2 linked regions of the Drosophila melanogaster genome follow. The protein of the gene in region 1 interacts with the protein of each later gene in a pairwise test. Each region holds a gene or a part of one and is shown in the gene's direction. Other genes may lie near its edges. The genes, in order: Saf-B and CG34334.

The links.
Region 2: the proteins of Saf-B (region 1) and CG34334 interact in a two-hybrid assay, tested with the Drosophila melanogaster proteins (one large-scale study listed by BioGRID).

Annotation. Positions count from the first base shown.
Region 1 is NT_033777.3:24,815,744-24,823,107, forward strand, and holds Saf-B (scaffold attachment factor B), read left to right. Parts: upstream 1-1,720; 5' UTR 1,721-1,873; coding exon 1,874-1,993; intron 1,994-2,118; coding exon 2,119-2,607; intron 2,608-2,667; coding exon 2,668-2,695; intron 2,696-2,842; coding exon 2,843-2,957; intron 2,958-3,059; coding exon 3,060-3,106; coding exon of another isoform or gene 3,107-3,120; exon of another isoform or gene 3,121-3,985; coding exon 3,986-5,024; exon of another isoform or gene 5,025-5,353; coding exon 5,354-5,503; intron 5,504-5,556; coding exon 5,557-5,982; intron 5,983-6,050; coding exon 6,051-6,423; 3' UTR 6,424-6,607; downstream 6,608-7,364. Other genes in the region: CG5808 (uncharacterized protein), read right to left, coding at 1-1,209; niki (nimA-like kinase), read right to left, coding at 6,658-6,802, 6,855-7,087, 7,141-7,326.
Region 2 is NC_004354.4:22,870,905-22,876,154, forward strand, and holds CG34334 (uncharacterized protein), read left to right. Parts: upstream 1-1,907; 5' UTR 1,908-2,111; coding exon 2,112-4,238; 3' UTR 4,239-4,463; downstream 4,464-5,250.

The DNA of each region.
Region 1 (7,364 bases):
GCGTCTTTGCAAATTCTTTCGAACATCTCGTTCGCTTTGCTCCTGGTGTCGCTGTTCTCTCGCTTTTCTTCGCTCTGCAGAGCTCATCCTATTTCGAAAATCTTCCGTCCTGTTGCGCTCCTTATGGTCTTCTGTTCTGGACCGGCCATTGTTTGGTTTCCTGTGATCTTTGTCGTCTCGCAAATTGTTAAAATCCAGCTTTCTATAGTCGCCCTCAATACCACGTCCTTTGCCCCGCCAGGTGACCTTTGAAACGGATTGGGAGAAGTCCACGTGGATGCGTCGATCGTCGATAAGCACATTATCCATTTTGAAATATGCGGCCTCACAAGATTTTTGATCCTCGAACTCCACAAAAGCATATTGCAGAGAATCTCCCGTTTTGCGGTCGCGAATCACCTCACATCCTTTAAGCACGCCGAAGCTACTAAAGATTATCTCCAGATCATCGTCGGTTGTAACAGGATTGAGTTTGCACACAAACAAGACATTTTCTGGCGGAGCCATGTCTGCATCGGGTAAATCGCCGACAATCTCAAGGATTGTGGCTCGAGCCTTGGCCTCTCGTTCGGCCAGCATCTCCTGCATCTCCTCCGCGGTCATGCCATCAGTGTCATCGATATCCTCGTCGGCAGCGATGCGCCCGTTCTTCAGACGCTCCGCACTGGGCGAAGGTGAGCGACTTGGAGCCTGAAGGCCGCGCGGATTAGGAAACGGATCCTCAAGCACAACAGTGTGTGTGATGCGTATATCCTGGTAAGGACGGAAGCTGTCGTCAACAATGGCGTCGTTTAGCTTGCGCAGCACCTCGTGACCTTCCACCACTTCACCGATAACGCAGTGGTTGCCGTCCAGCGATGTTAGGTTCTCACCCAGCGTGAGGAAGAACTGGGATCCCACCAGATTCTTGCCTGCACTGACCAGCGATAGCATTCCGGCACTGGAGTGGTTAATCTTGGGCAGGAACTCCGCCTCGAAGAAGCGCTTTTGCGGACCCTCCACCACGCCCCAGATGGAGGATCCGCCGTCTCCAGCTCCACTCGGATCGCCTGTTTGGGCGATGAATCCCTGCTGCACCGTGTGAAATAGATTGAAGTTATAGTACTTCAGCCGGCACAGCTTGAGGAAGTTTAGGCAGGCAATTGGGCGCTCGCTGATGAACAGGTCGACGGTCAGGTCACCCATCGTGGTTTCTATAACCACCGACATTGTGCGAATTCACAGATACCGGCAAAATCAAGGGATAAACAAGAACAATATAGAGGTGGAGAAACATCGATGCCAAATCGATATCATCGATGCTTTCGAAAAATCACAAACATCGATGTTTTTCGAGGAATCATCGATGTTTTTCCATCTCTACTGCGCATCGGAGGAGAGAAGTGTATAAATTGTAGGTATAAATTAATTATCCAAATTTTCTAATACAATTATTAATTTAATGTGACTTATGTCGGTGTTATATGAAACTTGTACAAAATTGGTATTTTACATAAATTTTGAAAAAAAAATATTTTTTTTTATGTACCCTAAACTGAGAAAAAAGTAAAAAAAATACAAACTGAACAAAACTGAAAAAAAATAAAGAAAATACAAATTGATCAAAGAAGTCCATACCTGTAAATGTAAATAGTTATACACGATGCGTAAGTTCATCCGATACTTGACATCGATTGAATATTTTAAAAACAGAACGTAACTTCGTAATCGCCATTTTCGATTGTCATTCGATAATTGTGTGTGTATCAGTGAGACTTGTCAAAGAATTTTCACACGTTTCGAGACTGGAAAAAAGTACAGAAAATTTCATTCCAATCTTAAAAAGCGACAATTAATAGTTAAGCAAGTGACCAGTGATCTAGAACAAGGTAAAATGCCCGAGGCAGGAAAGAAAATAGCAGAGTTGCGCGTGTGCGATCTAAAGAGTGAGCTGGAGAAACGCGAGTTGGAGACAGTCGGCCCCAAGGCGGTGCTCATCGAACGCCTTGAAAAAGTAAGTCCACAAATATGTATGCAACTTAAATGGCGGTTCAGTGCCGCTGGCGATAGAGATAGTGATGCAATTTCCGGGGATTTATGAATGTGTGTAAGCAACGCCTGGTTTTTTCTAATTTCAAGTCACTCAGAGCTGAAGGGCTCGACCCGGCCACCCACTTGATTGTGCCGGGCGCGAAGGCCAAGAAGCCGTTTGCCATGCCCATGAAAGATCTCCAGTCGGAGGTGGTGATCAAGGAAGAGCCCATCGATGCCAATGAGGAGGAGGTGAAGGTGGAACAGCAAGATGATTACCAGAATGGCAACGACTACTCGCATCATGCCGACGACGATGGGCATGAGATTGACCAGGTGGGAGATGTGGACGATGAGTGTGTGATCCTGGATGACGACGATGAAGAGGATGAGGATCATGTGTACGACGATGAGCCCCAGAGCGGTGATGGCGATGCCGAGGGGAAAGCTCAGGACGATGGAGCCGAGAACAATGGCGACGACAAGGCTATTATCCATGGTGAGGAGGAAAACACCGGGGACACCGGAAATATGGACAATGACGAGTCAATCAATTTGACAATTGGGGAGGACGAGCAGAAGCTGCTGCACGATGAGGTGATTTTAACTATTTGGCCTTAAATTGATGTATTCTAATCCAATTTGTTTTGTCCTCAGGCTTCCGACGACAAATCTATTAAGTCTGGTATGTTTGCAGTATCACTCAAAACCATAGAAAATTTATAATTCATGACTAGAAATATCATGGCGTTTGTATTCATGCAATCGATTAAGAAATACGAAATACAAGAAATAAAGCTAATATGTTAATAAAAGTTATCCTGATTCACAGTCAAACCGGCCAATAAATCCGAAAAGTCTAACTCGAAGGATGCCGACAAGAAGAATGACGACGGAGCTCGCTCCAAGAAAAGGGATGAGAAATCCGGTGATAAGAAGGACTCTAGGTAAGATTTGAAAACGTTTCTGTGACATGTCTTCTAATAACATAATATATTTTTTCTTTTCATTTCGCCACATGATTGTGCATAAATTATTATGGAAAATAGTGAACAAAAGTCCTCAGGAAAGTCGTCGAATCAAAAGGACGATAAAGGTAAATTAAGTTAAAGTTTTAGCATGAATAAGAATGGTGTGTTCGGATGGTCTTGCGTTGGGAATGATCAGACCAAGCATGAACCCAGTTAAGGTCGAAAAAATTGACTAAACCATTGAGGAACATGTATCAAAGACCGTGCAAGAGAGTGTGAATTTGGTTGGGACACGGACATGGGACTCTTATCAACAAGGATGCGAGAATTCGGCTCAGGAGCAGCGATGCATCTTAAATTCAGCAATTCGAGTTAATCTTAGTGTTTGTTCCAGTTAACTTCGACGGAAACTTCATACTAATCAAACACACATCCCAATGTTCTCCAAGGAGTTTATAACATTGGTCATCAATAGGCGTATGTGCAAATACTCCGTTGAGGGGCCTATAATATAAAATGAGGCTATCTGGAGAATAAATGGATGGCACCTTTCCCTTACTGCAGCTGGGAAGTGCGGATATTTTTAATTCTTCTCGGCAGATAACTACTGGATTTGTATTACATCACTTATTTCGATCCTGGCTAGGATATGCTGGCCTTACCTGTGGATGACGATGGAAACTGACAGCTATTTAAACAGTCAGCTCTGGATATGCTGCTCTATACTCTGAACGCCTTCAGCAAAAAGCGAGCCTGCTGCCGCAATGGATTTTCATCAGCAACCCAATCAAATTCATACTCTCTTAGCTTCGTTAGGTGAAGTTTGTCGGTAATCTTACGATTGTGCTCTAAACTCCAACATCTGCAGCAGCTACAAAATGTGTGCGTTCACAAAATGCTTCCCTTAAAAACGTATCATAAACAAAAACAGTTAACCAGTTAAGCCCACTCAAAGCTCTGACCATATCTCTCTTCCAATATTATTATTTACATGGAACTTGCAGAGAAATCGACAGCAGCACCTGGTGGTGCCACATCCTCCACTGCATCGAGTGCCGCTGGCAGTAAATCGGGATCCGGTTCCAGTGCTGGCAATGGTACTGGGGCCAACTCAAACAACAAGCAGGCGACGCTGTCGCGAAATCTATGGGTTTCTGGGCTGTCCACTTTAACCCGTGCCAGCGACCTTAAGGCAATCTTCTCCAAGTTTGGCAAGGTGATTGGGGCCAAGGTGGTCACCAATACGCGTACTCCGGGCACTCGCTGCTACGGATACGTGACCATGTCCTCCTCGGCAGACGCCTCGCGTTGCATCGAAAATCTGCACCGCACCGAATTGCATGGACGCATCATTTCGGTGGAGCGTACCAAGAACGAGATTGGCGGCAGCTTGAATTCCAAAGAGGGCAAGGGCAAGGCTCCGGGCGACGCCGGAAACAAGAAGAAGGAAGACGACAGTGGCAAAAAGTCTGGTAGTGGCAAGGGCTCCAGCTCCAACAGTGGCGATGACAAGAAGGGCGGCGATGGAAACGGCGACAGCAAGTCTGTTGGTGGCGATTTAAAGCGTGATGGCAAGGAGAGCAACAGGGCCCGCAGCCGTCGCAACGATGACCGGGGCAAGTCGTTGGCAAGCCAGGATAGACCGCGCCACGATCGCGAGCGATCCGCAAAGGGTAGTCAGGATCATCGTTCGGGGCGCAATCCACGCGACGTCGACCGTGAGATTCAGCAGCGCCAGAGGGAGCGCGAGCGTCGTCAACGAGAGATGCTGTCCTACCAGAAGATACGTGAGGAGCGCGAGCGCCAGCGCCTTCGGGAAAGGGAGCGTGAGCTGCGTGAGGAGGAGCGTCGCCGTCGGGAGGCCCGTGAGCGCCAGCGAATCGAAGAGGAACGTCTGCAGGAAGAACGGCGCAAGCTCGCTGTGGAGCGGGAACGGCTCGAGCGGGAGAAGGCCGAGCTTTTGCGGATGGAGCGCGAGCGCCAGAAGCTGGAGAGAGAAAAAATCGAGCTGGAACGCCTCGAGCTGAAGCGACAACAGATGAAGTATGCTAAAAAAAAAACCAAAACAGACCGTAATGCGTTGCACTCGTGCCAACGCAGAGGCGACAACACAGATATACCAATATATTTATTTTATACTCTCTCGGAAAGCATTTGTCCTTGTGATTAGCGTGTTAAGTTGCAGCCTCCACGTTGTTTCTTCAACTCAAATTGCTTTTAAGCGGAACGTTGATAGGCAAATGCATCCTAGTCTAAAGTCTGAGTCTGATACCCCCACTTCACTCCAGAACTGACATTACTAGCATTACTAACTCAACTCTTTTATTTCTTCCATCTCTCTTCCTCTCAATCTTGTCGATTTACACAAACAGGATCATGGAGTCCCGCGATGATCCTGGCAAGCGCGGGGTAAGCAAACGTGCCGACGACCGCTATGGAGACGTTACTGATCGTAAGCGCACAGCTATTTTTGATGCGCCACCACCACCGAGATTCGACACGAATCTAGTCAGCTCCCGCAGGTAAGTATTCTTCCACAGAAAATAACTTGCGAGTTACAATCATGTCTTTGCAGCACCTATGACAAAAAACACGATGACTACGGATCCTCGTCGAGCACCAAGCGCGTGCTTGATGACTATTCTAGTTCCAGCAAGCGATTGGATTACTCCAGCAAGCGTAACGACTACAGCAGTTCTTCTGGATCCAAGCGTGGCGCTGTCGATGATTATACTGCCGTGCCCACGAAGCGCTCCAACGATTATAGTGCCTCCTCTTCTAGCAAGCGCGACGACTATAAGCGCGATGAAGTCCGTCATTTGCCACTTTCAGGAACTGTCGGCGGTGGCTCAAGCAGCTCGTATTTGCACAAGAACAACACAGCCGGTGGCGGAGCCGGATCCTACGTCCACAAGAACAACACCAGCGGCACTGGCGGGCGCTACAACGATTCCGATCGCAGCAACACATCGAGCTATAGACGCGACGACTCCCACAGCCTGTAAAAGTTTTAACAATAGAATTAAACTAGTTACGATGGATTCTAACTATTCTAATTTTTTATTATAGCGGTAACAAGCGTTATGACAACTCCAGCGGCGGCGGTGGAGCCTACGGCAGCAGTTCGAACAGCGTTAACATCTGGGCGCCATCATCCGGCGGAAGCAGCTCTCACCTGGGCAGCGGTGGCGGCGGCGGCAACCAAATTAAGTCATACGGCAACAACGGCATGTCCTCGAATATGCACAGCACCAATTCGTGGCAAAAGTCTGCTCCCGTTGACGACAACGGTTGGCGGCAAGTGCCCGCGCGCTTCGATCGCGGCTACAACGAACGTTCAACCGGCTATCAAGGGCAGAGTGGGGGCGGAGGAGCAGGCGGAATGTACGGCGCGAGCCGACCCGCCCAGGATCGCTACAGCGGACCGGTGTCGCGCTACTAGGAAATGTGCATTTACATAAAATGAGGCAATTCGAATTTCCAAGCATGCATCCCCACATCCAACACACCCCCCTGAGTGACTTTTCCAGCAGCGCCCAGGAGCGCTGCTCTTAATATAATGAGCTTTAGTTGTAGTTCTAAAACTTAAAATTACATTTGGAAACCAATAAATGTATTATCAAACTATGTTGAAAATGCGCATACATTTATGTTACATCTGCAGGATTTATTGAACCTATAGGTGCGGGTAATCACCTTCGTATGAGGATATTAGTGGCGTGGTCGTGTCTACCAGCACCAGAACGCTATGTGCCAAAGGATAAACGTCATGCACCTGGACGTAATAGCCACGGTCGCACTGCTCCTTGGAAGAGAAGAGACTGCAGGAGATGCAGGTAAAAATAAAATCCCTGTTGCAAAATGAAAACATACGCTAATATATCCACCGGTTCCAGTATCAGCTCCGACTTGTAGACCGAGGCCAGAAAGTTTGTAAACGCTGCCGTGTTATTTCCCAACTCCAGCTCCATGTTGGGTGTGCAGATCTGCAGTCCCAGGCCACAGTTGGTCGAACCAATCCCCGGGAGGCCATTACGAGTACCCCAAACGGTGATGATGTTGTCCTCCGAGGCGACAATGGTACACTGGTCGCTACAGTTCGCCTTCTACATGCGACGGTTTAGAAGGGATTTCTCAACTAACACAGAATAATACAAACCACAATATATCGAGACTTAACCGAATCCACCAGGGTGGGGTGATCAACCGAGTTGCAGTGCCTGATTCCCCGCTGACCCTCCGCATTTCGACCCATGGTGTAAACATAGCCGCCCTCCACCAGGAACACCGAATGGGTGGACGAGAAGCACGCCTGGGTCACCTTGTGAGGCAGTTGGACTTTTTTCTGCGCATGAGAACTATAAGGTAAGCATAAGTGGGTAA
Region 2 (5,250 bases), on another chromosome or scaffold:
GCCCCCGGCAATATTGCATTGGAAGACAGGAAAATACATAAATATTTCGTGAAGCCAGTCTACATCGCCGTCGAAAATTCATCTGTATTTTGGTAACTTGCTTGTCCACTACACTAAGGAGTCAGAATCTGCTCGGATTAGGAGTCTTCCAGGGCAACCTCCCTTGACTCCCGTAGATTCCCTGGACACTCTGAAGACGTCGACTGCCACAATTATTTCAACGGCCGTCAACCGCTGGTGCTAGGATATATTATTCCATTAGGCTTTGTTTTGTGTAAATTATTTTGAAACGCTTACCTGAATTTGTCACTAAATCCGGTGTCAATCGCGAGTCTGAATTGTCGTCGGTGGGCCAGTGGGCCAGATGATTTTTCTAGTGGGACAAAAGTCACATTTTTAAATATTTAAATACAGTTTTTTCTTTTTTAACTGACTCTAACTGACTATCCGTCTGAGCCTATAAGAGTTAGCATAAGAGTTTTTGCTTGTTTAAACATATGTTTCAGCGCGTGGTCATTAAATATTTGGCGTAACGTTTCGTATTTGTTTATTGACCTTTAATTTAAACAAAGTAAAACAAATTCAATTAACAACTTATGTTAACTTTAGGAAATAAATGTTCGAAATAAAAATAATGTGTTTGTGACCCGCATTTTTATGTTTAGTAAAAACAAGTGTTCGAAGTTTTTATTTTACCAGGTATGGCATTACGCTTGAATTTAGCATATTTGGACTATAACTAACCTTGTTCACTCTTGTTCGAGCTGATTTAAGCATTTATGTAACGTGTGAGCCTTTGTGTCGTTGATTTTTTCAGAATTATATCCAACTTTGACCAACTGTAAAGTCTGTCAGCCCCAAAGCGTGTGCTTCATTCCAATTGGCTTAGCGAAACTGATCCCGCATACCAAAAGTAATTGGTATTTGGTACACTTTTAAAGAATCGTCAGCTTTCTGAAATATAATCTGAAAGAAAATCAACTAATTTTGACCATTTCAAAGCAGTCGACGATCTAGGGTGATCGCTGCCTAATGAGTGATTGAAGAAAAAAATAAAGAATGTAAGAGTTAATCAGTAATTATATGTATGTGTAATAAAACAAGAAAGCATACCGGAATGCTTCACCTTTGGGGAGATGGGGCTGTCCTAGTCGTTTGAAGCGACACCGACGTGTTGATAATGAGTGATGTCCGCAATAATCCTTCGTGCAACCTAGGTCGGTTGGGTGCCAGTACTTTAAGATTTTGTCGTTTATGTAAATTGAATTCGTTTTTTTTCTTCTACTTTTTTTTGCTTGTCTGCTTTTTAGAGATCATAGATATGTAGGGTCGATAGTCGATGTCGATAGTTATCGATGCCTATGTTGCAAGCTGTGTGGCACTCCGCCCTGAGAAAAGCCTGAGCTAGGGGCACTGCCACTAAAAAAAAGAAGGCAGTTCGTAACATACATATATAGGTTAAGTTAATCTGCGAATCTGCACACTTTCTTACAACTAACTTCCTATCTTTTATACTTCCTGTGAGCCCGACGTTTATACGGACAGACAGACGGACATTGTTCATTTGATCAAAATTTGATATGTCATATTAATTGCTAGTTATAATAAAGAGATCATAGTTTCGGTGCTTTTAATTATAAAGTGTTTTTACTTGGTATACAACAAATTTGTATTTAAATGTATAGTAACTGGAAGGGTATATAAACTTTGTATTACCGATGCTACCTTCCTTTTCTTGTCTGTGTATATTTAAATTATGTTGACAGGTGATAGGAATGCCTTCCCTGAATGACGATAGTTACAGCCCTGATTTCGAAGTGTTGGACAACGATTATATCCTTAATGTGGTCTGGTCTAGTGTTAAATTGCTTGAGAATTCGTTACTGCGGTGACCTAAGGTGGCAACCACAAAGCAAAAAAGTTGTTATCTATCATTGAGTGGCCTTTGCTTGGTCAGCTTTTATTTTTATGACAGTTGTCAGACCAAGTTTTTACACGCCATTACATTTTCATAAGGCAGCCGTTCCCAACGTGTGAGTAACGGAGCATCAAATCAAAATAGTTTCGAAGGCCGTCATATTTGTTCGCAGTGAAAGTGAAATCTTGTGAAAATGACCAAGGTATCAGGGACGAAGGCAAAAGACGATGGCGAGCCAGCCACTAAGCGCGAACGCAAGGAGATGCATTCGCACAAGAAAGATCGCAGGGAGCGATTGGAACGCATGGAGCGCATGGACCGCAGGGACCGCAGAGACCGCAGAGAACGCAGGGACCGCAAGGACCGCAAGGACCGCAAGGACCGCAAAGAGCCAGCCAGAGGCCCCTCCTCCCGGATGAGGAACATCTCACCAATTCACTCGAATGCTTCGGAGAGCACTGAAGCAGACTGCAGCGACTCCAGCTACTCGGACTCGAGCTACAGCACCTCTGGATCGTCCAGCTGCACAAGCTTTTTGAGCTCCACCAGCAGCAGCTACTCGTCGAGCGACAGCGAGCCAGAGCCAGAAGGATCCGTCAAAAAGTTTGAGCGCACCAAGCACTCGTGTTGCCATTACCGACACCATCGTCGCCATAGGCGCCACCAAAACCCTCGTCATTCGCACCGTCGCCGGCACGTCACCCGTTGCCATCACTCGAATCACGGACGCTTTTCCAAGCGTTTGGCTAAAAAGAGTCGTCGTGGCATATCCGCCGCCAAGGGAGCTATCACGGTTAAGGAGGAGGTTGTCGAAAAAATTTCTCCTGCTTCAGCCCCTGGGGTCATTCAGATACCGGCACCCATTCCGCTGCCCGTGCCGGCACCCATTCCGGCTGTCCTGTCTGTTTCGGAGGCACAACCGCGTTCCCACTCCCGTTCGCAATCGCACTCCCATCTCCATAGCCATTCCAGCTCCCATAACAATCCCCACCCGCAACCCGTTCCGGCCCCTGTTCCGGTACCAATTCCTGCTCCGATCGCCATGCCAACTCCTATGAGGGAGCCAAGCAGCGTGGTATTGGACCGCAAGTCTCGTAGACGCAGCTCCACCTCGCAGAACATCGCCTCGGCCGCCAGCAGTTCTATCGGCACCAACCAAGCCATCATCCAGTCTAGCACTATAACCATTACAAAGACGATTGCCAACGCCACTGGTATGGCCGAAACCAATTCAAGTGGCGGCGCTAGCATCTCCAGCACAAAAAATAAGGGGGACAGCAGTACCGGCCAATCTTCAAAGACGGTTGTCACCAATAACGCGGGCAGCAAGGCGGGTTACCAAGCCCCCAAGACTTCAGTGGCAAGCACATCTTCGAAAGCGGTGGTCAGGTCTAACGCAAGCGCCAGTTCAGGCCACGGGAACCACACCAGTTCCAGCTCGAGTTTCACCCAGCTGCACTCCAGTGCCAGGCCCTCGACAGCCAAAGATCACGACAAGAGTCCTCAGCAGAACCGCTCAGGCAGCTCAGGCCCCAAGGGCAAGTCGTCGAAGATCAACGATCCTCCACGTCGTGGCTCTTCACCGTCTGCTGGTGCAGAACCTACTCGCCAAAAACAAAGCGTTCAAAATCAAAATGGGCGGAATTGCAGCAGCCAGTGGAACCATCGGCGCGGTGAAGGGGATGGAGAAGGAGCAGAAGCAAGTGGACGGGGCTACAGAGCCGTGGGTGAGGTAAACAAAGTGGCCTACAGAAACGGAAAGGACGCCTTCAAATTTCGCCAACCCGTGCGCAATGTTCGCCTGCACATTAAGGGATTGACGCGTCAGGTGACCAAGGAGCACATAACCGAGATATTTGGTCACTTCGGCGCCCTGACGGCAGTCGACTTTCCAATGGACCGTTTCCAAGGGCGCCAGGGACGCGGATACGCCTTTGTGGAGTACTCACGTCCAGAGGACTGCGCCAGTGCCATCAAGCATATGAACGGCGGGCAGATCGATGGGAAGCTGATCAGGGTGTCCGCCTTTCAGGAAAGCATGCTAAAGGCGCCGTGGCGTCAATACCGACGTTACTCGCCAGTCAACCGGCGCCAGAGCCAGCGTACGTTGTCCCGCTCGGGCTCGTCGTCACGCTCTCGATCGCCGTCCCGCTCTGCGTCCGGCTCGGAATACGGGTCGCGGTCCTCCCACTCTCGCGTCCGCTCTATGTCGGGATCGCGCTATTCTCGGCGCAACCGTTCGCAATCGTGCTCCTACACTCGCTCATCGCCGCGCTACGGGCATTACCATCGCCCTAGACGCGATTCGCGTTCGCCCTAGATAGGCGGACCTGTCTAATGTTGCAAAAGGAAGGCGAGATTAAGCCAGACAGGATTTTCAGGACTCTGCCAGATGCCTATTTTATTCCATTCCAACTTCAAATACAAATGTAGACTTGATGGACATCGTGCGTTTTAAAAGTTACTTATTAATACCAGTCTAATTTAAAAACATTGTTGGGCTTAAAATAAATAAAAATAAAAATCCATGCTCCGCACAAAAAAGAATTGTGAGGTATATCAGAAAATAATCATCGTATGTAAGGTGGTTATCTGTTAGTAATAATATAAAAGCCCACTGCAATCAATCGATTACCAAAAGACAGGTAAATGGTATTTCGTAGAGAACGCTTAGAAAAAAAGTACCGCTATTCGATGTAAAATCAAGAACAAACCATATCGAAAGTACGGTAAGCCCAAAACTTGTATAAGGGTATAATATATATAATAGGGTATAATAGATTCGTTGAAAAGTATGTAACAGACATAAGGAAGCGTTTCCGACTATATTAAGTATATATATTCTTGATCAGGATCAATAGCCGAGTCGAGACAAGTCGTCTGTCCGTCTGTCCGTATGAACGTCGAGATCTCAGAAACTATAAAAGCTAAAAGGTTGAGATTCAGAATACAGATTGTAGAGACAAATGCGCAGTGAAAGCTTGCTGACCCGTGTTGCCACGCCCAATCGCCAACAAACCGCCCACACACTTTTTTTTGGTTTGTTCATAATTTTATTAGTCTTGTAAATTTCAATCGATTTGCCAATACAACTTCTTGCCACGCCGTCTCACTCACACATAAAAAACGCTTAAATTTTTCTGCATTATATTGTTTGTCTTGCCAATTTTTATCTCTATACCAAAAACACTGTGGCCACACACCTCCTTTCACACTCCGCAACTTTTAAGCAATCTGATAGTCGAGGACTTGACTTTAGCATTGTCTTTTGTTTTGTTTTATAAAGCCAAACAACATACAATTAATGATAATGGTTATGAAAATTAAAAGTG